Linked DNA regions of Cricetulus griseus. The protein of the gene in region 2 interacts with the protein of the main gene of each other region in a biochemical or structural test. Links are inferred from orthologs where the notes say so. Each region holds a gene or a part of one and is shown on either strand. Other genes may lie near its edges. The genes, in order: Scn4a, Erbin, Abca1, Pkp4, Atp2b4, Arvcf and Mapk12.

Region 1 (4,023 bases), on a different chromosome or scaffold from region 2:
CACTGTGCTTGTCAGAGGAGCCCTTGTGAGGCTGAGTCCTCCAAGGTGGTGAGCAGAGCCAACTGGAACTGCACTGACATCTGCGGTCCCCTCAGGCGGCAGCCTGTCACAGGTTACGGGAGGAGGGACCCGGAGCCTGGTACCTGAGGTCGGGGAATTGGCTTCTGGGGCTTCTTGGAGCCAAGCTTCTTCATGGCATTGTAGTATTTCTTCTGTTCCTCTGTCATGAAGATGTCTTTCCCTCCAAAGTATAGCAGAACGAAGACAGTCAGACAGAGGTGCGTCCCTCCCCGTTTCCAGGACTCCCTACCTCAAGCAGTACCTTGAAGGTGGACTTTACCCCTTAAGAAGCATCTGGAGGGAAGGCGTAGGCTCTAGAGGGGCTAAAGGTGGAGGGGTGAGGAAGGGGGAAACTGGCTCTAAAGAAGGATGGATGAGCAAAAGAAGGAGGGAATGAGAAGGTTCCGGGCCAATTTCCAGCTTCATGCTAAGTTCCACCAAGGCTTCACCAATGAGTCCTCAGTTTGTATCTACTTCATTTTATTTATTGCTATTGAGACAGGGCCTCGCTTTGTAGCATAGGCTGGCCTCAAATATGCTATGTAGCCCAGGCTGGCCTACACTCGAGAACGTAGTGCCTCAGACCACTTTGTGCTGAAATTCCGGGTGTGTGTCACCATGCCTGTTTCTGCATCCACCTCGTTTTATAGATTAGGAAGGTGGAGCTCAAGGGGTCAAGTCATGGCTTGGTCCCCTAGTGGGATACCCCGGCATCCAGGTCAGTGACTGCTGAGGGCTGTCAGGCAGCTATGACTACAGGAAGCAGTGGGTGGGTGGGGGTTGGGTTTCCTCTGGGAAGGGCCAGATACTCATCTTCTTCTTCTGTTGGTTGAAGTTGTCGATGATGACGCCAATGAAGAGATTGAGTGTGAAGAAGGAGCCAAAGATGATGAAGATGACGAAGTAAAGGTACATGTAGATATTCACCTCATAGACCGGTTGCTCCTCCTTCTACAGGGTGAGGTACGCGCACGGAGTTTCTCTTTGTGCCCCAGAGTACGATGAGCAGGACCCCTCCTCCCCAGACTGCGGGGCTACCAACTATCAGCTCCCCCCTAACTTAACTTATCAACCCTGTGACCCACTCACCTCCCGGGAGTCCACAGCTGCATACATGATGTCCATCCAACCCTTGAAAGTGGCCTGAGAGATCATGGCAGGTCATGAGGGGAAGGGCTCTCCCACACACCACCATTCATGCCTCCCTCCCTTCCCTAACCAAGCCCTCTCCAAACACCAGCTGCCTGGACCCAGTGGGCAGCATCAAATATTCTAGAGAGACAGGAACACTACCTCTGGGTCCCTCGGCGCTGTGAAACAGATTGGCCACCCCTGGCGAGGAACACAAGTGGGTTCTGATACAATGAGGGGCAACTAGGCACTTCTACCCACTTCTGAGAAGGCTCAATGGGTGCCACTCACCACCTGAAGGAGGGAGAGATAGCCCAGGCCCACGTTGTCATAGTTGACCTTGACATTCATCCAGCGGACCTGGCCTGTGTGCATGAGGCTTTCACACTCAGACTTGTTGTTGACCACAGAGACGTCGAACCTCTCAGAGGTGGTTGTGTTGACACAGTAGTAGAACTTCCCGGCAAACAGGTTGACGCCCATGATGCTGAAGATGAGCCAGAAGATGAGGCACACAAGGAGGACATTCATGATGGAGGGGATGGCTCCCAAGAGGGCGTTCACCACCACCTAGGGGCCAGGGTGGCAGTGGGGTCATTGCTAGATCCACTCTCGGGGATCTCTGACAGGGGACTCCCAGCCAGGGAACTGGGCAGAGCTGAGCACTGGCAGTCACAAAGGGCCAGTCTTAGGCAGTCCTGGTGGGAGAGGGTCTGCTGGGTGGGCATGTGTGTACAGGGGTAAGGGAGGGTCTGCTGGGTGGGCATGTGTGTACAGGGGTAAGGGAGGGTCTGCTGGGTGGGTATGTGTGTACAGGGGTAAGGGAGGGTCTGCTGGGTGGGCATGTGTGTACAGGGGTAAGGGAGGGTCTGCTGGGTGGGTATGTGTGTACAGGGGTAAGGGAGGGTCTGCTGGGTGGGCATGTGTGTACAGGGGTAAGGGTAGGGGCTGAGCAGCTAGCATACTGGTCCTCTAGAAGTGCTCTCTGCTTCACTGGAGCCATCAAGGCAGAGTAAGGGTGCCAGGCTTCTCTGGAAGCTGCCAGGTCATGGGTCACAGAGCAGGAGACAAACACTGCTTTCTTAGCCCCCATAGGAAATTCAGCCCCCCGTGACCTGGCTTGGCTCACTGCATCAGTGAAAGACACAGAAAGGGCATAAAAAGAAGCCACCAAGGTGTGCAGAGCACTAGGATTTAGAGTCAGATTCCTGTCCCTTACCAGCCCTGGACTTATAGGCCTACCAGACTGCTTTAGTCTTGGCTGAATCTGAGAATTATTCCCCCTGCTGCCAACACCCCTTTTTAATTGTTTCTGAAATAGGGTTCAAAACATGGTTCCTAGGCTGGACTTGAACTTGCTGTGTAGCTGAGGAAGCCCTTGAGCTGCTGCTCCTACCTCCACCTCCTGAGTGCTGGGATTAGGGGTGTGTACCACTACACCTAAGGCATGAGGTTCAGGGGATTGTCCCCAGGGCTTTGTGCACACTAGGTGGCCACTCTACCAACCGAGCCACACCCTAGCTTGATCAGTTCCCCTTTAAGTAAGAGCTATCTCATGGCCTCTAGACAGCTGGTGGCAGGAGCTAGGGGTGCTGTGTTTCTTCAAACCACTCAGCTGGCATGAGCGCGTTATTTGTCCTAGCAGGAAGAGGTCCCCAGCAACCAGGATTGGGGGTCCAGCCTTGGGCCAGCATCTTCTATGAACTGGGGAGGTTGGAGTGCTTAGGCTGACCCTGGAGGGGTCAACCAGGGTCCCTGGAATGAGATTTTATTCCCAGCGGATGTCTAGTCACTGACTGAAGTCCCATTGATTTTGCCCAGACCTTGTGTTTATCTGCCACTGCTCTCACAGGCCTTTGGGGGATCTTCTCTAAAGTGCCCCTGAAGCCAAAGGCATGGTTCCATGCTCAAGAGGGGCAGGCTCAGGGCTGAAGCAAAAGAACTTGCTCATGCGTTTGTGTTACAGGACCCTGGGGCCCCCAATCCGAGGTGGGGAGACCCATAAACCCACAGGCCAAGCCTTGCTTCAAGCCTTCCAGGCCACTGCAGCAGCCTCTGCTGCCCTCCAGTGGTAGCAGAGATAAGTGCATGGTCTGGTAGAGCTCAGGGGTTGGACCGGGGCTTCTTGGATATGGGTCACAACCCTAAACTCCAGCCATCAACAGTTTGAACCTTCTGCCTGCCCATGGTTGACTGGCAAATTGTCACGTACCTTGTAACCCTGCCCCGTAGGTGGCTGCTCCAATCCCCTGAGCCCTTTTCAGTGTTCCCCATCCAATACTCACCCTCATGCCCTCAAATCGCGACAGTGCCCTCAGGGGACGCAGGGCCCTCAGTGTTCGCAGAGATTTGATGGGACCCAACTCTGAGTAGCCCAGCCAGTTGGCCACCAGACTGATGATGGAGACCTGTAGGAAGTGTGTGTTCAGTGGGTTCGGGGTCCCTGGCTTTACCTTCTGCCTGAGACACACAAGAGGGGAATCCCAATTTCTGTCTGTCTCCTGTAGATCCCATCCCTGGTAGATGACCCTGTCTGGTGGGGAGAGTAGCCTTGTGACCTCTAGCACCCTAGAGCCTGAGATCATCTCAATGGTGTCACCTATGTCAGTAAACGGGAAAGACAGTACCCATCTCCTAGGGTCCTGTGTGCCCATCAAAGAACACATGGAAACCTTACACTGGCAGGGATCATAAGGCCCAGGCCTGGGCTGTAGTATCTGGGAAGCAAAAGGCCAGTCTGTAGGGAACAGTGCTGGCCTGGGACCTGACTCTCTGCGTGAATTTGGAGAGATCCTACCTCCCAGAGGGGGGGCTCCCTAAAGGCCTTGACAT
Region 2 (4,023 bases):
CTGAATAATTTTATCACCTGGCTGTAGTAATTTTGATGCTGGTCCTTCAGGCTGTACCCTTGTTACAAATATACCCTTTAATGAGCAATCACAAAAAATAAATTATTTAAGGCCAAACTACAAATTGAGAGCATGACTCAGGATCAAGGGAAACCGTTTTCAATAGCATGCAAATACTTGAACATGGTGAGAGCTGTCTCCTGACTGGAGTACCCTCTGACAGGTCAATATAATTTCTCCCTTTAGTAATTCTGACTTTAGCAATGCAATGAAATCACTTCTACAAACTTTTGGAGAAGCAGTACCAAAACTAAAAATCACTTGGTAATATCATCAATATTCACATTTTTGGATAATTCTTCCCTTCAAACAACATGCAATAAGCAAATTTAAAAAACAAACAAACAAACTAAGGTAATAAGGAAAAGGGATGAGAGCCCCATAGATTTACATTACATTTTCACCTAGTAAGTATGAGATTGATAAAAGAGACCTTATGAGTGCTGAGGAACATAAAAAAAAAAACAAAAAAACAAAAAAACTTACATCATCATCAGGCCTGAAAGGGTTTCCTCTACCCCCGACACCTCCTGATATGCTAAATCCAAGTTCTGGATCCTTTTCTACTCTTACTCGAATCTGATTTAATATGAAAACAAAGGAAATATTACTATGCCAGAAAATTTATAGACTATCATCTATACTTAAATACTGGTGAATTAAGTTCAAGCAGAATATGCAAGGATTCATCAGAACTAAACATTTAGATAGATGAGGTGACATGACAACACAGAACATCATTAATGTTAATGAGTTAGTGAGTTAAAGGCACAGTTGGGATTAAACAGTGTGGCTCCTGACTTTATTTATGACTAGTCAATCAACTGACATTGGCTCTATCTTACTTTTTAGTCAGCATGATTTTAACAGCATGGTGCATACCTTCAGAACACGTATGCTTATTTCCACCAGTTTTCATTTAATTTCACTTAAATTACATGCTGTCTTTGCCTACTGTCTTGTGTCATAAGATACTTAACATTCAGAGCTGGTTTTAGGAAATCAACTCTCATTCCTTCTGTTTATATGTTTCAGGAGAGTAAGGATTTTAAAATCACAAACTACTGTAAAATAAGAGATGAAGAAACAGTTTCTTTTCTTGAGACAGGGTCTCACCATGGAGCCCTGGCTGGCCTGGAATCTGCTCTGTAGACCCAGGTGGGCTTGAACTCAAGAGATCCTCCTGCCTTTAGCTCCTAAGTTTTTTTTTTTTTTTTTTTTTTTTTTTTAATAAACACAAGCTTTCACAACAGCCCAGGAGAGCCTGGATTGTCTGGTGCATCCAATCTTGAATACACCACCCTCCAGACTCAGCCTTCAAGGTGCTGGCGCACAAGGTTATAGAAGCTAAATTTCTGTTACAGGATGCTTCTGTTTACCACAGACTCCATCAAAACAAAATGTGATCAACACTGAGGGCTTCAATGTTATCACTTCATAAACAAATCATTAAGGTGTGTGAAATTGTTATCTATACACATCTTAAAGATCAAACTCTCAACATGGCCTGGAGAATATAGCTGAATTTCCAAATCTAAAAGCTGAGATTGGTGTAGAACAGGACCACTTCATTTTAATGCTCTACTATTCTGTCTTAAAAGAAAGTCTGCTGGAGCACCATCAATCTATTTTGGACAAGCAGCTGCCTTAGAATTAAAAAAACCACACCCCCAATGTTACATGATCATAAAGGCAAGTTAAAAAGTACAAAGTTTTAACACTTTAGAAAACTAAACTTCATAAACTTAAAACAAAATGGTAAAAACTACTGTTAAAATTCTGTATGGATATATTGCTATTAACCTATAAGAATATATGGAAACTTTAATTTCATATTTCAGTCTTGATAATTCTTACCTCTTGCTTTGCCAGCTCATAGCCTTGTCTAGGAGAACAATGGGGATGTGTATATGGAGGCTGGTGGGCCACTTTCAGCATCAAATAATCAATGAGTTGTTCTCTAGAGGGATGCCTTGCCACAGATGCCTGAGGGGGATGATGTATTTGACTATAATTTGCCTGAGGCCTGAGAGGCTGGCCCATCTGTCCATTACTCAAAGGCATCTAAGAAAGACATGAATTATCTTAAAAACGACTGTAATAATGTCTTATTACAAGTACTTGTATATTCATCTTGGAGCAATACAAATGCACCAGAGTTTTAATATTATATACCATTAAATACTGAGTTATTCACTATATTCCTCTAATTTTAAACCTTCCAAGAGAAACAAAGTTATTAATGTCTTAATTCTAAACTTGCTTGAATATTTACTGATTGGATCTATCACAACTTTGAATGATGGCCTCATCTATATTTTAAATTAATTGCTTTTCTGTTAGATATTAATGTTACACTTATCAATGTTAAAAGTAGGAAACGCGTATATTGAAAAAGTTTAACTACTGATATACATAAAACAACATTTTGTATGCTAAAAAAAACTCAAGCTTCCAGTCTGGTCTCCAGAGTGAGAGCCAGGATAGGCTCCAAAGCTACACAGAGAAACCCTGTCTCAAAAAACCAAAAACCAAAAAACCAAAAAACAAACAAACAAAAAAAAAAAAAACAAAAAAAACCCCCAAAACCAAAAAAACTCAAGCTTATGTTAGCCTATTAGAAGAGTATCCTTTTCTCATACCAAATCATAACAAACATGCATAAAAGGTGTATGTAAATTGTTTTTCCTCGAGAAAAAAACTAATTCAGGAGTGTAGCTTTTTTTAAATTTTAGTATATTTTCTAACTTGGATTTCTTCCTTTTCAGAAGTAACAAGTCAATTCAGCTATCTACATAGAAATTAAGTTATTGATTCTTTACTATGTGTGCATTATCAGTAATTTTCAAGCTCTCTATAAACATTAATTCTAAGGAATATTTAAAAACACAAGAATTAAAACAATGAGGCTCTACTTTATTTCCCACCCCCCCCAAAAAAAAACTCCACTGCAAAGTGGATTTTTAATCCACTTTGAGATTATTAATTTGCTACTAAGGACGTACCTCCCATTTATTAAGAAATGGAACCTGAATTTTAGATTTAGGGTTACTTTTGTAGTAAATAGCTTATTCTATTCTATAAGGAATCTAGCTAAAAAGAGGCTACATTCATATTATAAATGTTCACATGTAAAAAGACTTGTACATAGAAGAGGAAATAAATGCTTTCATTATTCAATCATTTAAATTCCATTGTTGGTTAACAGAGGAGAATTTCTGTCCTCAAGGAAATTAGCAAAAAAACCTCAGAATTTCCCTAAAAATTATCCAAAAATAGAAGTTTGGCAAAAGTTTCATAACTGTACGCTGTGAACTTGCATCCTGCTAAAGATACAATAAGGTTTGATGTTTAGGAAGAAAACTATTCTCTAGAAAGTAGGTGTATGCATGCCATGACATATGTAAAGGTCAGAGAGCAACTTTCTGGAGTCTGTTCTCTTTCCATTGTGTAGGTTCCAAAGATTGACCTCATAATGGCAGACTCAAGGACAGGTGCCTTTATCCACTGAACCATCTTTCTTGCTTCACCCTCCCTGACCCATCTGGCTTCAAACTCTTGATCTTCCAGCCTTGGGTTTCAAGTGCTAAGACACAGCCATACGCTACCACATTGAGCCTATCCTATTCTTAAAAGCTGCTGACACCTGTCATAAACATAAGAACTGTATTACGTTATGTTTAGCCAATGCCTTGTGAAACAAAGAAGGGTTACAAACTAAGCTGTAAGGTGCATGTTAAAAAGAAAAAGAAACTCAATGATAGCTTTGAATTGAAAGGAAAGGGATAAAATAAATAAGCATGTATGATTACATATTAGATGGCTGGATGCCTACCCTCAAGAGCAACTTACAAGTTGTAGATAATAAATATGACTCATAATTATTATATCTGGTTACATTAGAGGCATGTAATTGGTTAAAACAAAAATAGCTGAGAGAGAGTAGGAATTACCTCTGGCACT
Region 3 (4,023 bases), about 230 Mb from region 2:
AAGTGGTCATCATCACTTTGGTCCTTGGCAAAGTTCACAAATACCTGTCAGAAGGAAGATGGACATTCATGAATACCTCTTGACTTGTTCTTGTGTGATTACAGTATCATTATTATGTATGTATGGTTGCATTTTGTCCTTGTGTTGAAATTGTGTCAGGTAGGAGAACACAGAATTGAATAAGTAATTGAACTAGAAAACCCCGTGTGAAGGGGAGAATACTTGAAAAACATCAAAAGCAGTTAAAAATTATTTTTTTACATTACCCCCATATCACCAACTGCTCAATCATCTCATCAATTATCACTTTGGCATATTTGGGCTTGATTAAAAGGAAAAGAAAAAACACTTCCTGGATACCTATTAACTACCAATTTTAATATATTTTGTTATTTAAAAAGGATAAGGCACCTGGCAAAATGCCTGGCTCATGGTTGATAGGCAATAAATGGTAGTTATTATGACTACTGCTACAACAGTCACAATAACTCCATATAATAGAAAGCATCATCTTTTTGCATATGCTCATAGAGATTTATACAGAATAGGCAGTAATAACAGAAGGAATCAAAACACAGACAGGCTGAACTTCTCTCAGGCTCATGGTGGGAGGAAGGACCAGGCATCCTAACCCTGCAGCTTAAAGTACTTTGAACTGAAGGCTTACTTGGTCAAGTGTTGTCTGAGAGACAGAGTAGTCTTCTATGTGGAGTCTCTTTTTGCTCTGGGAGAGGATGCTGAATATCCTCGCCAGAGACGACAAGGAGGAGGGAAGCTGGTACTGTAGCATGTTTCGGTGTTTCTCTTTTAGGACACTTCCTGGAAAGGCGAGTCCAAAGAACTCCTGGACAGGCTTCAGATCAGGGTTGGACCCTGCTATTCGCACAACTATGGTGTAACCATCTCCAAACCTGAGGGCAGGAAAAAAAAAAAAAAGTACGTCCAAATGGAGCATTCCCAGAAAACTTCTCAAGATAATACTTAACCCCAAAAACTCTGCTTTGTACTGAGAAAAAGGGAGATCTCTGGCAGACCTACAGAACAGTTTCTGAGAGAAGAAACCAGTTTTATCTAGTCATGTGTTCAGAACCTTGAATTCAAGATTCCATTAAATCCCCAGTGTGGAACCATGAAGTCTGACACACAAACAAACAGAAGCCTAAGAAATTTAGTCACCTGCCCATGTCCCAAAGTTATCTCCTGGGTTATGGTAGGGCAAGGATGTGAACCCATTTCCATTGACTCCACAGTGTGTCCTCATTACCATAACATCACATACAAATTATTAAATTTAATTTATATAACAAAATTCAGAAGTATCCCAGAAAACTGCTTCTCAGAGAGGTTAAGTAACTTGCCTATAAATCACACAACCAGTATGTGGCAAAGTCAGAATTGGACTACTGCCCATTTAGACATCAAAGCCCATGCTCTTTTATTTTTTTATTAATTTATTTTTTTATATTCCAATCCCCATTCCCCCTCCCTCCCCTCACTTCCTTCTCACCCCACCTCCCATCTGCTCCTCAAAGAGGGTAAGGCCTCCCCTAGGAAGTCTACTAAGTCTGTCCCATCATCACATTGAGGCAGGAACAAGGCACCTCTCTATGAGACCACTGGCAATGGGTCCAAGATCTAACTCTAATGCACAAACTGATTTAGTGGAGCCCATGTTCTTTTTGCTAAGCTCTTTTGTTTTTGTTTTAAGCCACCATGTATACACCCAGCAAAGAATAAACACCGACCATTTCACTAGATGCTATCCCAAAGAAATTATCTGTTACCTGTTCTTCAGATGTTGGACGCTGCCAAGGCACCTGAACCTCCCATTGACCATAATGGCCATCCTTGTGCAAAGAGCTTCACATTCTTCCATACTGTGGGAAAAACAGAAGGAGGGTTTCCTTTCAGAGAGATCCCCCTATATCCATGGAAACATCACCATGACACTTGGCACTCTAAAAAAACAGATCCCCATTATCTTAGAGCATCTCTTGCCAAGATACAGGAATGATGCTCTTCTCTGTCATGCGCTTTACAGTTGTGAAAAGGTAGAAGTAATCCAAATGTTTGCACAAGGAAAAGTTACATAAATTAAGGTAGAACTTTATGAAATGCAATCCAGCTATGAGAAGTGATGGCACAACCAAATTTTATGTCTTGAAATAATATTCTCAATATACACATTATAATTACATTTTTTGTTTGTAAAACACTTATGTGTGTATAGCTTTGCATAAGAAAACTCTGGACTATATACAGACAAATGATAATAGTTATCTTGAAGTGGAATGATTCCAGGTGATAACTGTTTCAGTCTTAGCCTTTGTTTTCTAATTTTCATTAATTAACCAAATATAATCAATCACACACTGCAGAGGCCAAGACTATATAGTACAGACCTATGAGATGTGAGAACTACAGATCTCCCCTCCTTGACAATGCTTAGGGCACAATTCCACAAGAATCTCCGAGCTTTGGGGTCCATGCCTGTGGTTGGTTCATCCTATAATTAGAATAAAATAAGTTTAATTATTTGCTGAGAAAAATACCAAAGATAATTTTTTTAATGCTAAAGATCATGCATGGTGTGGTGGCACACACCCTTAATCCCAGCAGTGGGGAGGCAGAGGCATGTGGATCTCTGTGAGTTCAAGGCCAGCCTAGTCTGCATAATGAGTTCCAGGTAGCTAGGACTGCTCTGTGAAATCCAATCTCCAAAAACAAACAAACAAACAACAAAAAACCCAAAAAACATTTTTTAAGAGTAAGGTTTAGGCAAAACTAATATATTTTCCCCTAGGTCACTCCTTGTTCTATTATACTTGCTAATCTTATGCAAAGTTCAGATTCATATGGTCAAGGTAACATTAAAGCCTCAAGTCAGGCTTCTTCCCATACCTCTAGTGTTTTCTACAAAATGAGTGTCAAGGGCCACTGCCCAGTCTGATCTGGTTTTTCTTTATCTGCATGTAAGGAACTATGGTCCAGTGTCTACTATGGTCACCTCGAAGCACTGTCCTCACTCTCTGTCTTTGGAGGATGAACATACAGTCATGAGCCATGAAGAATGTTCCTGAGAGAGATCAAGTCTCACACTCAGCTTCAGCCATACTAGGAGGGATTATCCAAGGCAAGAAAACAAGGTGTCTGGAGCATGTTTTTGGGGGGAAGCCTTTTAAGGTCCAGCAGAGTCACCCAGTGTGCTCTGTGGGAGGAGCTTCCCTGTGCTTCTTCAAGCCTGTTCTGCAGTGAATGGCAGATTGACTTACTGTCACCCTGCCAAGTATGCAACATGGCCCACATGTGACTTCAGATGAACCACGTTCATTCATGACAGAATAGCTGCTACCTTCCCCTCACACTCACCACCTGCACACTCACCAGAAACACCACAGGAGGCCCGCCTATCAATGCCATGGCCGTGGAAAGCTTCCGTTTGTTGCCTCCACTATAGTTACTGGCATATTTCTCTCCATACTTTACGAGGCCCAGTTTGCGAATTGCCCATTCACCAACCTAGAGAGACAAAGAGCACTTTGAGCTTTGTCTGGTTCAGTACTATCATCATGCTTTCTTACATGAGTAGGACTCAAGTCTCAGCTACCTCTGAGGACTCAGGGGAGGGAGAAGAGATTCGTGTGACAGGACCGCACTTGCTCCCTGACCCCTAGCCTGTGTATGCCTACTCTCCCTTCTCCCACCATGAGAATGGGTGCAGAGAAGAGACTACAGCAGGGCAAGGAAAAGGTCTCAGCTTGCCACCATGTGTGAGAAGCTATGCCATATAAGGGTATCAAAAGAGACAACCGGGCTTTCTGGTTCCCACAATACCTTGCCAACTTCTTTTTCTGGGACTCCCCTCAAGAGGGCAAAGAACTCCACGTGCTCTCTCCCAGTCAGCAGCTCGGTTATGGCATCAAACTGAGGGCAGTAGCCCATGTTCTGATGTACTTCATGGATATTTGTTAAGATGCTGTAAAGGAAGATAGAACCAGTCTTCAGAGATGTTCTGATGAGACA
Region 4 (3,116 bases), on a different chromosome or scaffold from region 2:
AAACCTAGATACCAAGGAACCAGGTTCAGGAAGGTGAGATCAAATAGGTGTGAAGTCCAAAAGTCTGTGTCAGTTCCTCAGGAACATCCAGTGACTTGTCATATAGAAAGCTGTTTTCTCTGTCCTGCCAGGGCACATGTGGCAGAGAGCATGACCTGTCAGCCATCTTAGGTGGTCTTTGCAAATGGTGAGCTCAAAAAGGCTCACCATTTGTAGGATTCAGCTACTTTCCTGCCTACATTGGACCTATTTTACTTTGAATCCTAACCTCGGGCTGTTTTCAACCCAGGAAAGTACTGTTTCTTGGGTCTCTCTATAGTCACAATGCTGCATGCTGCAGAGTAACATTGGGACATGCCTATAGACCTCAAAATGCTGTCTATAATCCAACAAGTACTGAGCACAATAATTATTTAGAATCAGTGTTGGCTTCTAACATTGATGCCAAGCAAGCAAATGCCCAACTCTCCATATGTAATGATTTAGTTCCAAAAAAATGATGCTGTAAGTGGTCCTTACCAATGTAGTATGGCCAGGATGCCAGATGTAAATACCCTTCGGTGAAAAGAGATGTTAAATACATCTAGAAGGTTGGAACAAAGCAGAACCCACTAAAACTGGAGATAAAATTAAAACAAACAAAAACTCCAAGAAATACATAGACTAAGGGGCAGTAAGGTAGCAGCCACATCTTCACTGCCCAGTGTGGCCCACCTCATAAACAGACTTAATCTGTTTTCCATATCACACCCAGAAAAAGAGGACCAGACCACATTTCAAGGATGAAATTTCCACATTTATTATTCTTCCATGTGCATAGAAAATGGCAGTGAAGTGTCCTGTGAAAGAGGCGGGATGAGCATGGCGCTGCTGTCACACTGAGCTTTGTGCTTCCAGGGGTCACTACTCACTGAAAACAGGATGTCAGAGTTTGTTGTCAACTGGTAATAGTTCCTTGGGCTTCCCACTTGTGTTTTAGGCTGTCAGTTCTTCAAATCTCTTTTCAAACGACACACTGCATTACAAATGATGGCACTTAACCAATGTGGCATTTCCATATTTACACCAACAGAATAAATTTTTACAAGACATAATAGCATACAATCTTGACATTTAGTAATAGCAATAAAACATGAAGGGCATCCATTTTATTATTTTTTTTCTGTACAAACTATCTGAACATAACTTTATTCACATTAAAAAAATCATCTGTAATTTGATTTGACCTACACATACCCCATCTCATTTCACCCATTTCTCAAACCTCTCATCACATCACCCATACCTTCACCACTAGAATCTACAAGTAATTAGACCTAACACCTACACAGAGCTTAGAAAGTCCTCTCCCAAGGGTTTCCTCACTTCCCTGAAAATTCCTCAAAAAAAAAAAAAAAAAAAAATACACTTCACTCATTCCTTCCATTTCACTTTCCACATTTCATCATCAAATCAGCAAGACGGACTTTTCACCTCAATCCAAGCAAAAGTTAGCAAGAAAGAGTCCCTCGCCAGGCGTCTTGATGCTACACCCACGAGTCTGGGGACCCTGGGTACTGTTCGGCTCTGTAAGAAGGTCGTTTAGTGGAATAAAAGTCTACGTAATTTGTGGTTGATTTCAGTCCATACTGTGTTGAGTAATCAGTAGAAGCTGGAAAGTGAACTCGGTCATCAAAATAAGGGTCTTCATAGCTACGAGGAGACTGCAAGTACAACCTGTATGCATCCAAGGTCTTCCTGGTGGAGTCATCTTGATAGTACAGCTGTTGGTGCTGCTGGCAAAATGGAAAGTCGAGTAAGGGAGAGCATTTTAAAAACACACATTGAAAGAACACTGTACATCAGTTTCACATTTTACAGTTCTTTGTGGGCTAAGGGTGGTGGTGGGGGCAGCTATTTCAGGTGCACACCATGTTTACTCACAGTAGGGAGGATTTTAAATTATGTTTATAGGCAAGCTGGCTTTGTTTGTTCAAGTCTTGCCCTGAGGCCTCAGGAGAGTTTAGGCCCTCAATGGGAGGTGGCAAGGGATGTGGAGGAGCCTGTTATTTAGGGACCAAAAGAGGAGGCAGCTTTTGCACAGGAAAGTTAAGCATATCATGGACATTCCTGAGGGCCGGGGATTTGGTTTTAGATATTCAGATAACTATAGGATTGTATGTGAATCCACTGCTTAATTTTAAAAGACGTAACATAGTGTGATGAACTCTGCTGTACAGTTTATTATTAGAGGACGAGCAATCTCAAGGCAGGAAGGTAACAAAATTAGCAGACACATGAGCAAATAGCATTGTAGAGGCAAAGACTTCCAATAAGGTCCTTTGAAGAAAGTGAAGTACCACATGTTATCCACACAGGGAACCCGGACCCCATTTCCTTTTGTGCTGTCTTAGCTTTGACCTCACCACGATGCCCTCAAATTATCACAGCTCTTATGTCTGTCTGCATGCTGCCCAAATTCGCCCCCTGCCCCACAATCTTGGTAAGATTGAAGAATTTACCATATAGGTATTGGCATCTGACTTTAAACTCATTCTAACATCATGGTATTTCAGAGTTAAAAAATATACTTAGCTAACTATCTCCTCTTTTAAAAGCAGAGTTAGATTTCTCTTGACTTAAAGGTTATAGTGTCGATAGGGTCTTAGAACACTTATTTGGAAGGACACAATGCAGTTCTGACTGGGAAACCTTAGCTTTGTGGTTGAAAGGGGTGTGTGTGGCAGTACAGTTCCAGGGGCTAGCTCGGGAAGACCCTCTTAAGTGGGCTACAGACTCAGGGTTTTCAAAGCATGGAGCTTGGATGAGAAGGAAGCCATGGTGATGGAGGATGAAGTGTCCAAAGAGAACAGGAGGCTGCGAGGTTTGCTCACCAACTTTGTCTTACCCAGAGAATAGAAGAGACTTTCTAGGTTAATGGAAAACAAAAAAAAGTCAGAGAAGGAAACTACTGGACAAAGAGCATGCACTAGAGGTTTCTCGCATCCTCGTCAGAGGCATGCAGTCTCAGAAGCACTGATGGAAACAGTTTATCTGAACCACACGCAGTCTGAGAGGCAAAGCTCCTCAGGGGAAGCTCCTTTGGCCCTGCATCGAGGAGGCCCAGCTCTCACCGG
Region 5 (4,023 bases), on a different chromosome or scaffold from region 2:
GAGACCACTTTTCCTAGAACAAACTGGTTTCAAAAAGGTGCTGGGGGAGACATGGATTTCAATCCTGCTTGTGTTGAAAGAAATGTAGGAATTTGGAGATAGAACAGATAGAACTTGCCCCCTCACTTTCAATGCTAAGGCTGAGGGGGTAGTAGGGTAGGAGAAAGGACTGTTAAAAGATGCCTAATTCCTCATCTGGGACAGCAGTCAGTCAATTATTTCAGGGTCCAGATGTGTAATAGTCTCTCTTCTACCACCAAGCAGACATGGACCCAGTGGCCACAGTGGGAGCCTAGCCAGGCTTCTTACCACTTCCAACACATACCTATCAACCCATCACTTCTCTGTTAATTGTGTGGCCTTTTCAACCCAGGGTCTCCTCAGAACTAAGAGCAGAGGTGGTGAGGAAGACTCAGTTCCCTGTGCACACACTTTTCATGGGTGCTGGCAAGAGGCTCTGAGAGGGACTAGGGGACAACAGGCCGCCTTTTGATCACTTGAGGGACTCTTCTGGAGAGCAGCAGGGAAGTGGCGCCCCTTTGTTTTCTGTTGTGGCTATAGTGACCTCTAGTGCCTGTGCCTGGTTCTGCGGCTCCTTAGAGGTCCAAGTTCTTAGACCCTGGGTTTCAGAGTATACCACATACTGTCTGATTAGCTGCTCACTGTCTGCCTTCCTCTCCCACCTCAGGGCATTGCAGGCACAGACGTGGCTAAGGAGGCGTCAGACATCATCCTGACCGATGACAACTTCACCAGCATTGTGAAAGCAGTGATGTGGGGACGGAATGTGTATGACAGCATCTCCAAGTTCCTACAGTTCCAGCTCACTGTCAATGTGGTAGCTGTGATCGTGGCTTTCACTGGAGCCTGTATCACTCAGGTTGGGTGGGGCTTGGATGGCAGGGATGACTTAAGGACTGAGGAACATAGGGTAGGGGGTATAGTATACCTACTCAGGAATGAAAGACAGGTATTTCCCAACACTGCTTGGACAGTTAGCTACACCAGGTTTATAGACTCCACTGTAATGGCTCACCTACCATTAATTTAACATTTTTTATGTGGTGATATCTTGCGTGTACAAATAAAGCCTGTCTGAAGGTCAGAGAATGGAGCTTGCCACTAGCTATCCATAGCAAGTCTGGAGGAAGTGACGTGTACTTATGTGGATTATCTCTGCCTTTTCAAAACAAGCTTGCTAGGCCGATGTTATTTTCCCCTTATAGAGATGAGCCTGAAATTATATAAATTTGTCAGAGTCACTGTGTACCTAGGTAACCAAATTCAAGGTCTGGTGGGTAGCAGGAGCTAAGCCACCTCAAGGGAATGATGGCACTGTAGAGTGAGACAGGCTTGTTTTTCTGGAGCAAGTTGTAAGGACTGGTTCTTCTTCCTACAGGATTCTCCATTGAAAGCAGTGCAGATGTTGTGGGTTAACCTGATCATGGACACTTTCGCTTCACTGGCCCTGGCCACAGAGCCCCCTACCGATTCTCTGCTGAGGCGTCGCCCCTATGGGCGAAAGAAGCCCCTGATCTCACGTACCATGATGAAGAACATCTTGGGCCACGCAGTGTATCAGCTCACAGTCGTCTTTGTCCTTGTCTTTGTTGGTGAGCCACAGTTTGGGCTGAGAGAAGGTAGTATGGCAGATGGGGAAATACAGACCCGACAAAATAGCAGCTTCACCAGCGAGTGCTGCCTGTGCAATCCCGGCACACAGCCACAGTGCACAACCACAGGGAGACAAGTACCAGTGGAGCCAACTGACAGACAAGATCACATATGTGGAGACCAGAAGCAACATTTAAAAGATTTCATTAATGGGGCCTGGAGACAGAGTTCTGCAATTAAAAGCACTTGTTGCTTTTACAGAGAGAGGACTCAGGTTCAGCCTCCAGCACCTATATGGTGGTTCACAACTGTCTGTAAATCCAGTTCCAAGGGACCTGATGTCCCCTTCTGACCTTCTGCGAGCCAGACACACACGTGGTACACAGACACACATACAGACAAAATGCCCATACACATAGAACAAAATACATACGTCTTAAGTAATTTTTAAATGTTTTATTTTTAAAAATAAAACGTTCGACAGGGTAGGTCGATCTCTGTGAGTTTGAGGCCAGCCTGGTTTACAGAGTGAGTTCCAGGACAGGCTCCAAAGCAACACAGAAAAACCCTGTCTCAAAAACACAAAAATAAATAAAAACAAAACTAAAATGTTCAATAGCTAGTGTAACTCAGAAGCTGACCAATTAGAATGAACTTTGGAATGGCCAGAAGCCAGTAGCATGGCTGTCCCAACCTGTTCACCCTTTCAACCTGAACCCTCACTGAGACCACAGGCATCCTCTAATACCGGCCCCGCCCCCACCAGGTGAGAAGCTGTTTGACATTGATAGCGGAAGGAAGGCGCCTCTCCACTCACCGCCCAGCCAGCACTATACCATTGTCTTCAACACCTTTGTGCTGATGCAGCTCTTCAACGAAATCAACTCCCGGAAGATCCATGGTGAGAAGAACGTCTTTGCAGGCATCTACCACAACGCCATTTTCTGCTCTGTGGTTTTAGGCACATTCATCTGCCAGGTGAGATTCTATCTGAAGCTGGGGTTGGAGGGCTGGAGGGTGGGGGACGATGGAGAGAAGAAGGAGTTCTGGGGCCCAAGGCTGTGAGTAAACACTTTGGGATTTCCCGGTTTGCTTCCATGTGCACCTTGTTCTAGAACTGGGCCCAGTCAGGTGCTCCAGGACAAGGTAGCATGTTACCCGCAAATATGACTTGTAGAATACTTTCATGATCTTTCCAAACGTGCAGAGAAGTTCCATATAGTGACTAAGAGAAGGGCCACTATCTTCTACCTTCTTCCCATGCCAGCACACATGAAATGTGTATGTACGGGTCGTGTAGGCTCCTCGCCCCCACCCCCTTCCCTACCCCCTTCCCCACCCCTGCCCTTTAGTCCTGAATGGGCTGATGCCTGAAAATGTTACACAGTCCACAGAGGAGAGGAGTGATCGATGGAGCACGGTTGCCTGGCAGTGGAAGGATGAATTCCTTCCTTTTTGTCGTACTCAGAGGGTCACCAAGACATGTGGCTATAAAGGATTATGAGCAGGTCACAGCACCAAAGACCATCTTCCTGGGGCTGGAGACATGGCTCAGCAGTAAGAGAGGACCAGTGTTTGAATTCCAGCACCCACATCATTGGACTCATAATCGCCTGTAACTCTAGCTCTTCTGGCTTCTGTGGCACATGGTTCAGAGTAGAGACCCACACAGAGACGCAGATACAGATATGCACACAGATACACACATGCACACACAATTTTAAAAATAAATCTTAGAAAGAAGCTGGCTTTCTCTCAGCAAAGCCCCTCCCTTCAGCCCCATCCCTCCACCTCATTCCCGGCTCCGTTCCTCTTCCGCTGTCCCTTCTCTCTGTCACCCTTTGGCCTCAGTCACAGGAAGCTTCCAACTGCCTCTACTCTGGCCAGATGTATATTAATCCCTGTCACAATAGTCCCACTGAAGTGCTCTATAAAGATTGTATCGGTCACTTTTTTCTTCTTTGCTGTTCCTTCCACAAGAGAATCCAGACTTGCACAACTCTGACCCTGCAGGGGGCACTGTGGCTTTGGCCACCTTTTCAGTCTCGGTGGGTGGAAGGCTGACTCCCACGAGATGTTTCCATCATGGTAGGCTGCCCTTTGCTCTGTTTCAGATTTTCATTGTGGAATTTGGGGGTAAACCCTTCAGCTGTACAAAACTCAACCTGGAGCAGTGGTTGTGGTGTCTCTTCATAGGGATTGGAGAACTTTTGTGGGGCCAGGTGAGTGTGGGGTGCCCTCTTGCAGATCCTCAAGGCTGTAGACCTCCCCTCTCATAATGAGAGGAACAAGTGTCTACAGATACCCAGCGCCTTGTTCCATCTTATCCTTCTGTCCCCTTCCTTCCATCATGGCATCAGGCTCCTTCCGTCTTGGGGTACCGGGTTGGAGTGACCACTGCCTTCACTT
Region 6 (4,023 bases), on a different chromosome or scaffold from region 2:
CCCACAGGCAGGGAGAACGCTAGCAAACCCCAGGTCTGTTCAGCAACCCCTCTCCTGTCCAGGCCCTGTAGCTACAAAGTATGGAGAAAGGATATGGCATCTACTAGAGGAGAAGAGGTGAGGCTGGAGCCAGGGACCATACATAGTTGGCACACATGTGTTGCACAGGGCTGTGACAGTATTCAGAAAGGTGTCCATGTCTGGTCCAGAGAGGAATAGCCCAGAATCAGCTGTTAGGCTACAGGCAAGAAGTATGGGAAAACGAATTGGCTGGTAGGTAGGTATGAAAACGAAGACACTTTACCAGCCTTTCCTGTTGAAAATCAGTTGTGCTGCTGGTCAGCACACCATTACACGGACCCACCTCAGAGAAATGATAGAAGCTGAGTCCCAGGATGGCCTTGAGCATCTTGCTACCAAAGGCCTCAGTTTCCCCATCTGTATGTACTACCACTGAAAACCCAACAGTCAATTGGTGACTGGGTGTCAGTGGCTCCTTCTCTGTATGTTGGAAGCACATGTAAGGGCTAGTACCAATAAAGGATGGAAGATAGGGTGTGTTTGAGAGCAGGGGGCATGTGCATCCATCAGTGCACTCGTGGCTGTATTTCTGACTAGGAACTTGTACATATATTGCATATATATGTGCTCCTGTTTGAGGGGTTAGAGACATGCGCTTGTATGAGTCCAGATCCCTGCCTGTGTGTGCCCAGGCATGAGTAGCTGGCTTGACTTTCTCAGGACCAGGCTGACTTAACACGTCTGCCTGCCTGCCTGCCTGGGTGAGGTCATTAACTGCTTTTAGCTTCCCATTTGCTAGCAAAGACTCTGGAAGCTCAGGATCCCTCAGCCCATATGTTAGTGGGTGATTACTGCAGGTTGCCTCCCTTTGCTGGATCCCGGTTCTCCAGACCACTCCAGTTGCTATGTGTCATACCCTCAGCACAGCCCAGGGGCTGTGATTCTGTCCTTCCTTGTTTACCATATAGATAGGGAGTAGGGTAGCGTTCTTCTCTGAATGTTTAATATATGTAGATGCATGCAAATCTACAAAGGGGCCCTGTCCTCTGGCAGAATGTCCCAAGCAACATGTACCCTCAGCCTTGCTCCTCCCCCTCCTTCATATCTAGGAATGCAACCCCTAGGTCCAATCCCCCCCCTCCAAAAAAGAGAAAAAACCTAACCAAACAAAAACCCCTCTTGACTAGCTCCCCAGGGTCCAGCAGTGAGAGCTAGGGCTTGATATTCAGTCACCAAATAGAGATGGGACAACCCAGACTTCAGCACAGAGCTGTCCCAACTACCCAGTGTCCTTGGAGAAGTGCCCAGGTCACCCAGTCTGGCATTTTTCCAATTGTCCCCACATTGGGCCTCATCTATTTTTCTTTCCCAGAGAACAGGGTCTCCTCTTCCTGGCCAGGTCCCAGCAGACATTCCTTCTCATCCCTAGGAAAGTAACTGCCAAGGCACTGTCCTGAAGAGGTGAAGCAAAGCTCAAAGGCTTCCTTGTCACATGTGTTCCTGAAATCCCCCTGCTAGGATTGCTGAAGTTCTGGGCAAACCTCCTCTGCTCAGCCAGGCCTCAGTTCTCTTATTTATAAAGTCATCTCTTAAATCTCTAGGCCCTGCTCCTGAGGGAGAGAGAGGTGTGCTCTGTGCCTCCACTTTCTTGTGTTACCAGAACCCAGGATGTCCTGTCATGCTACTGCTACACTGACACTTGTCCACTTGTCTCCATCAGGGGCCAGGGACTCCCCCAGGGCAGGAGCTGGTCCGAGAAGGTTTACTGTCCTGATGGCCTCTGCAGGAAGGCCTGTTGTAAAGGCAGCCTGGTCCCCTGCTTAGCACATCTCCCAGGCCAGGGAAGGGCATTGTGGTTCCGGAGCTGGGGGAGATGCCATGTGAACTACTAACCCTCCCTGGGCCTTGGGTGGGCGAGGCACAGCCTTCTGCTGACCTAGCCATGGTTACAAAGGAATGTGTCCCCTCTAACCCACCCACGGTAGCTTGAGTTCCACTGCCTGTCCAGGCCAGATGCCAACCCTGAGATGTTGACAGGGTGAGGCCCTGAGCCCAGGACAGACCATGGGCTCTCAGATCCATGTTCCACTCTGCACAGCAGGAACTGGCCTGTCCTTTGGAGTTGGCTTCCACACTGACTAGTCTGACTCAGTCCATGGCTGTTTTTCCTAGGATTTGGGCATCATGCCTCTGCACAGGGTGGTGGCAAGGTGGTTGCAGGTAGGAATCCATATATCTAGTGTCTGGTATGATGGTTGGTCTCCATGTCCCAAGAGCCTCTGGGCTAGAAGGAGCAAGGATATCATAGCACTGTGGGTGCCTGCAGTACTCTAGAAGGTGGGCATCTTGGAACTGTGAGGACTTCTGGCTGATCTTGGCATGGGATTGTGTGAACTGTGCTGAAACTGTGACTCTAAGACTTGGTCATTTGGACCTTATAGTGTAGAATGAGGAGGAAGGCCAAATTGAGGAGGCAAGTGATGTCAGGAGAACATCTTGCAGGACATTCTGGGTCCCTCTTGGGGCCTAGAGAGGCCTGTGGTAGAGCCATACAGCTCGGGGAAGCCACCTTGCACCCAGGAGAATTGAGCCACCCTGGCTTTGTCAGGGTACTGTCCAGGTCTCAGCCACCAGGCCCATATACCACTTTCTTGTCCACCAAGTCACCAAGAAAGTCAAGATCACAAGGACAGTATGCCAGGTGCCTTTGGGTCCAGATGGACTCCCCCCTACACCTCATCCCTAGGTTGAAGAACTGATAACCCCTGGTGCATGGTCACCAAACATCTAGGCAGAATCTATTGTACATGGAGCTTGACCTCTGACACCCTTCTCCTTCCAGGAACAGAGCCCGGGTAGCCAGGCATCGCTCGCCACGATGCCAGAGGCACCTGAGGTGCTGGAGGAGACAGTGACGGTGGAGGAAGACCCTGGCACGCCCACCTCCCACGTGTCCATTGTCACATCAGAAGATGGCACAACCCGGCGCACTGAGACTAAGGTATGGCTGGGCCCAGGCAAGAAGAGGGCAGCTTGGACAACCATAGCCATCCCTCTGTGGGACAGGCATGTGAGCTGACCCCCTAAGGACCACTTGTTTGGATGGAGAACCCTGGCACTGTCCAGGTCTCTAGAGACACCAAGCCCAAATGCTACTTTCTCGTCCATCAGGTCACCAAGACGGTCAAGACTGTGACCACAAGGACAGTACGCCAGGTGCCTTTGGGCCCAGATGGACTCCCCTTGCTGGATGGTGGCCCCCCACTTGGTTCTTTTGCTGATGGGCCCCTAGACCGGCATTTCCTTCTGCGTGGTGGTGGCCCAGCAGCCACACTCTCCCGAGCCTACCTCAGCAGTGGAGGTGGCTTTCCTGATGGCCCTGAGCCCCGTGATATTCCAAGCTATGGCAGCCTGTCCCGAGGGCTTGGGGTACGGCCCCCACATACTGGCTTCCTGGGCCCAGGGCCTGGTGATGGCTGCTTTACACTGCCTGGCCGCCGAGAAGCCTTCCCCATGGGCTCTGAGCCTGGACCACCAAGTGGCCGCTCCCTGCCTGAGCACTTCCAAGCTGAGCCGTATGGCCTTGAGGATGATACACGGAGCCTGGCTGCCGATGATGAGGGTGGCCCTGACCTGGAGCCTGACTATGGCACAGCAGCTCGGAGGAGGCCTGAGTATGGGCGGGGCCTTCGTGCCAGGTGAGCACCTGTTGCTTATGACTGCCTCTTCTGTGAACTCTGTCTTCCACTCCCAGCTACAAAGTATCCCACAGGTCATCAGGCTACATTTCAATTTGAATTGGCTTCATCTCTTCTCAAGGATGGCAGCAAGAACGGGCCTGGGATGATAGGCATTGAGCTGGTGTCACTGCCTGAAGCTGCCTCTGTTCTAATAACCAGCTGGCCATGAAGACCCAGGCCTCAGATGCTCATGGTGTGACTCTGCTTAAGGCCTCTGATGTTTTCATCATGCACACTAGCTGAAACCCAAAGGCCCTGGTTC
Region 7 (4,688 bases), about 64 Mb from region 2:
ACCAGTTTCCTCCCACCCACTGAGCCAACCCAGGCCAGCACTTACAAGTCTGTGAAGTCATCCAGAGTCTCATCGGGTGTGAACACATCCAGTAGCCCAATCACCTGGGGAAGAAGTGCCAGACAGGATGGAGAGCACATGGGAGATGCAAGGACTCAGTGCATGCCCAGGGTGGCACTGTTCTCCAGGGATAAAACCCTCCTATAACTATCCTTGTCTCCTCCACTGTGCCCACTGTCAGCTCAGCCCCCACCCTGGTACATTTGCCCACAGACACAATCTATTTTTAGATGCTGACAGCCGGGATACTCTGGGGGGAGGTGCAGTCTCAAGTCTAGGTTGACTCCAGGCTTCTGAGCAATCCAACCCCTTAGTCCCCCCCCCCTTTTACTCCTCCTCAATGAAGCAGACCCAAGACCAAAGTGGGGACAGTCCCTTGGGAGGAACAAATACCTAGTAGGTTCTTCCCGGGGCCATCCCCTGGCTATCTAGGCCAAGGAGAAGCACCAATTTAAACACAGCTTCTGGTTGTGGGAGTTGGACAACAGATGGACAATGTGACATCAGTTTCCCAGTACTTGGGAGGGGGACCGGAACTCTGGGGTCAAGAGAGGCCTCCCTGATGAGTGCTGCATACCCAACTATCAGGAGGGACGAGTGAAAGAACAAAGAGAGGCAGGGTGCCTGATGGCCAAAGTAGGACAGAAAACACCTTCAGAGTAAGGAACAGAGAAGAAGTCCAAATAGCTAAAGCCCAGGCCAATACAGAACCAAGGAGAAGGCAGAAGGAGCCAAAAGAAGGCCTCAAACTCACATCCCAGAGGAAGATTTGGCTTTGCTCCACAGAGCTGCTATGGAAGGAAACAAAGATAAAATGCTGAGGCTGAGCAGTGGTGACACACACCTGTAATCCCAGCACTCAGGAGGCAGAGGCAGGTGGATCTCTGTGCATTTGAGGCCAGCCTGATCTACAGAGTGAGTTCCAAGACAACCAGAGTTGTTACACAGAGGAAACCCTGTCTCAAAAAACCAAAGAGTGAAAAAAAAAAAAAAAAGATAGGTATATACTCTGGATTTCAGTGAAAGGACAAATAGAATGAGGCAAGAATAGACAGGAGGTAGAGGGCAGCTGAGTGATCACTTTAGGCATGGCCAAAGTTGGGAGTAAGAACATGGACAGGAAAGGCTTGGGGGCAGATAAACCACAGATGTGACCTGAGAGCTTAGTAGAATATATAAGGAATAGGGTCCTAGAGGTCAAGGTAAGTCCACCAAAGGCATAAGACTTCTGCACTTTTGTGGTTTAGATGTGACCCAGAGCCAAGGACCAGAGCTTGAGGAGAAAGGGAAGAAGACTAGAGCTGGATCTGTGGCAGCCCCATTTCTGGTAAGTAGAGCATACAGCCTGTCCAAACCTCAGTTTCCACACGAGAAGGGAGATACAATGGCAGCTTCCCAGAAGGTGCTGAGGAATCCTGAAAGCTAGCACACCCAGGCAAGGGTTATGGGTTGACCCACAGACTCACTCAGGAGTGGGGAGTGAATGAAGAAGCCCACAACCCTTGGCTGGAGAAAGGTTCGGGATAAGTAGGTGGCTAGGTGGGATTGGGCTTGAGGATAGGGGTGGCTACACCCATGAGAACAAAGCCTTTTACTGTTTTGTCTGTTTTGGTTTTTCAAGACAGGGTTTCTCTGTGTAGCCTTAGCTATCCTGGAACTCACTCTGTAGACCAGGCTGGCCTTGAAATCACAGAGATCCACCTGCCTCTGCCTCCCAAGTTGTTTGATTGTTTTGTTTTTTATAACTGTTTACAGATTTATGGGGAAGTGGGGAGGCAGACAAAGCAGGGCTGACGTCCATCTTAATCAGGCTTCATGAAGAAAAGAAATAAAGGTCCAACACATCAACCAAGAGTGGCAATGACGAAGCAAGTTTGCTGTTAGACACAGGGAGATCATTGTTCCATGGGGTTACTGACTCTGATGACCCAGGAGATTAAAACATACTTCAGGACTAGTGCAACTCCCCAGATGTCAAGTGAGGGGGAATGGAACTCACAGCCTCAGGAAGAACCATATGAAGACAAAGCCCCCAGCTGAGAGGATTCTGATGGCTAGCAAGGCTGATATGAGAGGCACAAGGGCAGCCATGTGCAGTATCCTACTATGGGCAGGTGAAATCGGAAATGCGATGCTGACAGAAGAAATACACACCCACAGTGGTGACTGTAACTCTCTGTTCCTTAAACCCTGCTCTTCTCCTTAAACCCCGTATCCATAGAGACTGGAGGCTTTGGGGTGATAGAGCCAGGGTGCATAATTCTAGTGACCTGCCTGGCTGGAAGTGGGCAAGAGAAGGCCTAGGGTGGGGAAGAGACGCCCCTTCCAGGAAAATCCTCTTCCCACCAACCTGAATGGAGACAGGGTTTGGAGTAAGACTTGAGGAGCCCTTAGGACTAGAACATACCCTGACCACTGCCTGGGCCGAGAAAGTAGAGGTGGACGGAAGATGAAACCAAGCCACTGAAGCCGGGCATGAACTTGCAGTGTCGCTCAGAAAGGGGTCTGGAATCTGTCTCCACTTCCCTCCTGGAAGCTGCTAATAGCTTTTTCAAGCTGGAGGCTAACTAGGTACCAGGCTTCAGGAAGCAGAGGTAGTGGACAGGATTGCAGGGGAGGGCAGGATGAGAAGTGGCCAGTGCACAATGTCCGCATCTGGGGCGGGCGTTGGACTCACGTTCTCGTGGCGCATATGTTTGAGGAGGCGCAGCTCTCTGTAGGCGCGCTTGGCAAACAGCTCCGACTGGAAGGGCCGGTACAACTTCTTGATGGCCACCTTGTTACCAGTGCGACTGTCTATTGCAGAGCTGCGGGGCGGACAGCTTGGCTAGAGAACCCGCCCCGTAATCGCCAGCCGCCGCCTGCCCTGCCTGCTGCCCCGCCCGGCGAACGCTCACCACACTGCACCATAGGCACCAGAGCCAACGGGCTGCAGGTCCTGGTACACGGCGCGCACCTCCCAGGCCGTTTTGGTCACCTCCTGGCGATAAAAGCCCTTGCGGGCGGGTGGCGGGGAGCTCATCCCCGACTGGAGCACCGCGCCCCAGGACCCGACCCAAGATCAGGGGCTCAGCCCGTGCGCCCCGGGTCACTGCGTGGAGGGCGGGCTCCTCACTGCCCGCCCGCCCGCCTTCGGGGCTTTCCCTTGCGGGCTCTTCTCTTGGGGTCGTCACCCTGAACTCTCTGTAACCGCCAACACCCACCCGGCCCTTGTCTCTGGCCAGCGAAGTGGTTCCTCCCGGCCCACTGACCAACCGGGCCCCCGAGCCCTGAGCACGTGACACCCCCGTCTGCCCTCCGGCCCCTGCGGAAACCCGAGGAGGCCTCTGGGGTTGGGCGGAAGGCTTGGGAAGGGAGGGCGGGGGAGAGGGGGAACTGCCCCATAGCTCTCTCGCGACCTGGGGCGGGAGGTGGCGCTGAAACACCCTGGATGGCCTCTATCCCTCTATCCTCACTAGACATCTCGGCCCTGGGCTCTTAGCAGGTGCTTCTCTGGATTCCAACCTTTCCTGTCCTTCCAGAACGCCGGGCCCATTCTAGGCAACTTGAGCTCACCAACTTTTACTCCATCCCCAGGTCAGGTCCACCTGCCATTTACCAATCACACCCCATCCCAATTGTTTTTCTGTTCCTGGTCAACTCTTCTTTCCCAAGGATGCCCCGCCCCTGGAGCTGATCCATTCATCTCTTCTATGAAGGAAGTATTTGGTTCTGTGTCCCAGACATCTCAGGTTGCGTACCCAACCCCATTGTGGCCACTAGCTCTCAGTTTCCTAATCTAGGAACCAGAGGTATTGGTCATACAGACCTTTCTAGGGCCTCTACACCTCTGTTCCCAGCCTTGGCCCCTACCTGGTATATGGAGTGCCTGCTTCAAGCAAAGACTAGGAGTGGCCCCTCTATCTATTCCACCTGTTATCCAGCTTAGCCTTCAAAGCCCGGAATGAGCTAAAGGCATGCCTGCTCCCAGGAAAAAGAGGGGCTTCTATGTGAACTTTCAGCCTGATGCTTCCATGTGAGCTTTCTCTCTGGGGTCTGTCCTAGACCTGAACCAGATGCTCCCAGAGGGTAAAGCCACCATCCTTCCCACAGCCTAGCGATCAAAGGCCATTCCAGGATCCCACTGGGTTGATGAGTAGTAACAAGATCCCCCAGAAGGCTCTTCCCCTCCCTCCGTGCCTGCCTGCCTGCCTGCTGCCATGAATCAGCAGCTCAAGGCCAGCCAGGGCAGCTTTGCGCCTGGGCTGCTGCTAGTGGCACATTCACAAGCAACCACGAGTGAGCAGGGGAAGCCAGGCCACTCAAGCCACATCTGCCTGTATCCTGTGTCCTTAATGCCCTTCATGCCTCTGGCCACCCACCAATATTCTTCCAAAATCTCCCCAGTCCCCTCCCTCTGTAGGGGACTAATCCAGATCAGGGTTTGGAACTAGAGCCATGTATTTGATTCTACTCCCTCTCCTGATCCCCAACACTGGACTTGGCTCTGGTCTTCTGGGTTTCCCCCCTGGACCAGCTGCCAGATGGAGGTGTCTAGAGGTCCAAGATTCAGGACATGGACATGATACATGAGCTGGCTGTACCCTGGGCTGAAGCAGCCTTTTTGCCTTAGCCAGGAAGGAAAGGAA

The links.
Region 1: the proteins of Erbin (region 2) and Scn4a interact in a test that uses a peptide from one of them, tested with the Homo sapiens proteins (2 studies listed by BioGRID and IntAct). The link is inferred for Cricetulus griseus from reciprocal best matches to the Homo sapiens genes ERBIN and SCN4A.
Region 3: the proteins of Erbin (region 2) and Abca1 interact in a test that uses a peptide from one of them, tested with the Homo sapiens proteins (2 studies listed by BioGRID and IntAct). The link is inferred for Cricetulus griseus from reciprocal best matches to the Homo sapiens genes ERBIN and ABCA1.
Region 4: the proteins of Erbin (region 2) and Pkp4 form a complex in vitro, tested with the Homo sapiens proteins (4 studies listed by BioGRID and IntAct, with this or other methods). The link is inferred for Cricetulus griseus from reciprocal best matches to the Homo sapiens genes ERBIN and PKP4.
Region 5: the proteins of Erbin (region 2) and Atp2b4 interact in a test that uses a peptide from one of them, tested with the Homo sapiens proteins (2 studies listed by BioGRID and IntAct). The link is inferred for Cricetulus griseus from reciprocal best matches to the Homo sapiens genes ERBIN and ATP2B4.
Region 6: the proteins of Erbin (region 2) and Arvcf interact in a test that uses a peptide from one of them, tested with the Homo sapiens proteins (3 studies listed by BioGRID and IntAct, with this or other methods). The link is inferred for Cricetulus griseus from reciprocal best matches to the Homo sapiens genes ERBIN and ARVCF.
Region 7: the proteins of Erbin (region 2) and Mapk12 interact in a test that uses a peptide from one of them, tested with the Homo sapiens proteins (2 studies listed by BioGRID and IntAct). The link is inferred for Cricetulus griseus from reciprocal best matches to the Homo sapiens genes ERBIN and MAPK12.

What each region holds. Positions count from the first base shown.
Region 1 is NC_048600.1:119,270,528-119,274,550, forward strand, and holds part of Scn4a (sodium channel protein type 4 subunit alpha), read right to left. Parts: intron 3,600-4,023; coding exon 3,477-3,599; intron 1,762-3,476; coding exon 1,483-1,761; intron 1,204-1,482; coding exon 1,150-1,203; intron 1,012-1,149; coding exon 874-1,011; intron 249-873; coding exon 144-248; intron 1-143. UniProt on the Homo sapiens protein: Pore-forming subunit of Nav1.4, a voltage-gated sodium (Nav) channel that directly mediates the depolarizing phase of action potentials in excitable membranes.
Region 2 is NC_048595.1:322,072,026-322,076,048, forward strand, and holds part of Erbin (erbin), read right to left. Parts: intron 2,125-4,023; coding exon 1,918-2,124; intron 640-1,917; coding exon 547-639; intron 76-546; coding exon 1-75. UniProt on the Homo sapiens protein: Acts as an adapter for the receptor ERBB2, in epithelia. By binding the unphosphorylated 'Tyr-1248' of receptor ERBB2, it may contribute to stabilize this unphosphorylated state.
Region 3 is NC_048595.1:90,742,416-90,746,438, reverse strand, and holds part of Abca1 (phospholipid-transporting ATPase ABCA1), read right to left. Parts: intron 3,977-4,023; coding exon 3,835-3,976; intron 3,520-3,834; coding exon 3,385-3,519; intron 2,507-3,384; coding exon 2,403-2,506; intron 1,878-2,402; coding exon 1,785-1,877; intron 912-1,784; coding exon 668-911; intron 45-667; coding exon 1-44. UniProt on the Homo sapiens protein: Catalyzes the translocation of specific phospholipids from the cytoplasmic to the extracellular/lumenal leaflet of membrane coupled to the hydrolysis of ATP.
Region 4 is NC_048599.1:115,554,535-115,557,650, forward strand, and holds the end of Pkp4 (plakophilin-4), read right to left. Parts: intron 1,776-3,116; coding exon 1,527-1,775; 3' UTR 775-1,526; downstream 1-774. UniProt on the Homo sapiens protein: Plays a role as a regulator of Rho activity during cytokinesis. May play a role in junctional plaques.
Region 5 is NC_048598.1:55,474,740-55,478,762, forward strand, and holds part of Atp2b4 (plasma membrane calcium-transporting ATPase 4), read left to right. Parts: intron 1-688; coding exon 689-880; intron 881-1,399; coding exon 1,400-1,613; intron 1,614-2,380; coding exon 2,381-2,592; intron 2,593-3,728; coding exon 3,729-3,836; intron 3,837-4,023. UniProt on the Homo sapiens protein: Calcium/calmodulin-regulated and magnesium-dependent enzyme that catalyzes the hydrolysis of ATP coupled with the transport of calcium out of the cell. By regulating sperm cell calcium homeostasis, may play a role in sperm motility.
Region 6 is NC_048597.1:70,855,018-70,859,040, reverse strand, and holds part of Arvcf (armadillo repeat protein deleted in velo-cardio-facial syndrome), read left to right. Parts: intron 1-2,863; coding exon 2,864-3,022; intron 3,023-3,192; coding exon 3,193-3,719; intron 3,720-4,023. UniProt on the Homo sapiens protein: Contributes to the regulation of alternative splicing of pre-mRNAs.
Region 7 is NC_048595.1:385,891,905-385,896,592, forward strand, and holds the start of Mapk12 (mitogen-activated protein kinase 12), read right to left. Parts: upstream 3,083-4,688; coding exon 2,958-3,082; intron 2,868-2,957; coding exon 2,738-2,867; intron 105-2,737; coding exon 46-104; intron 1-45. UniProt on the Homo sapiens protein: Serine/threonine kinase which acts as an essential component of the MAP kinase signal transduction pathway.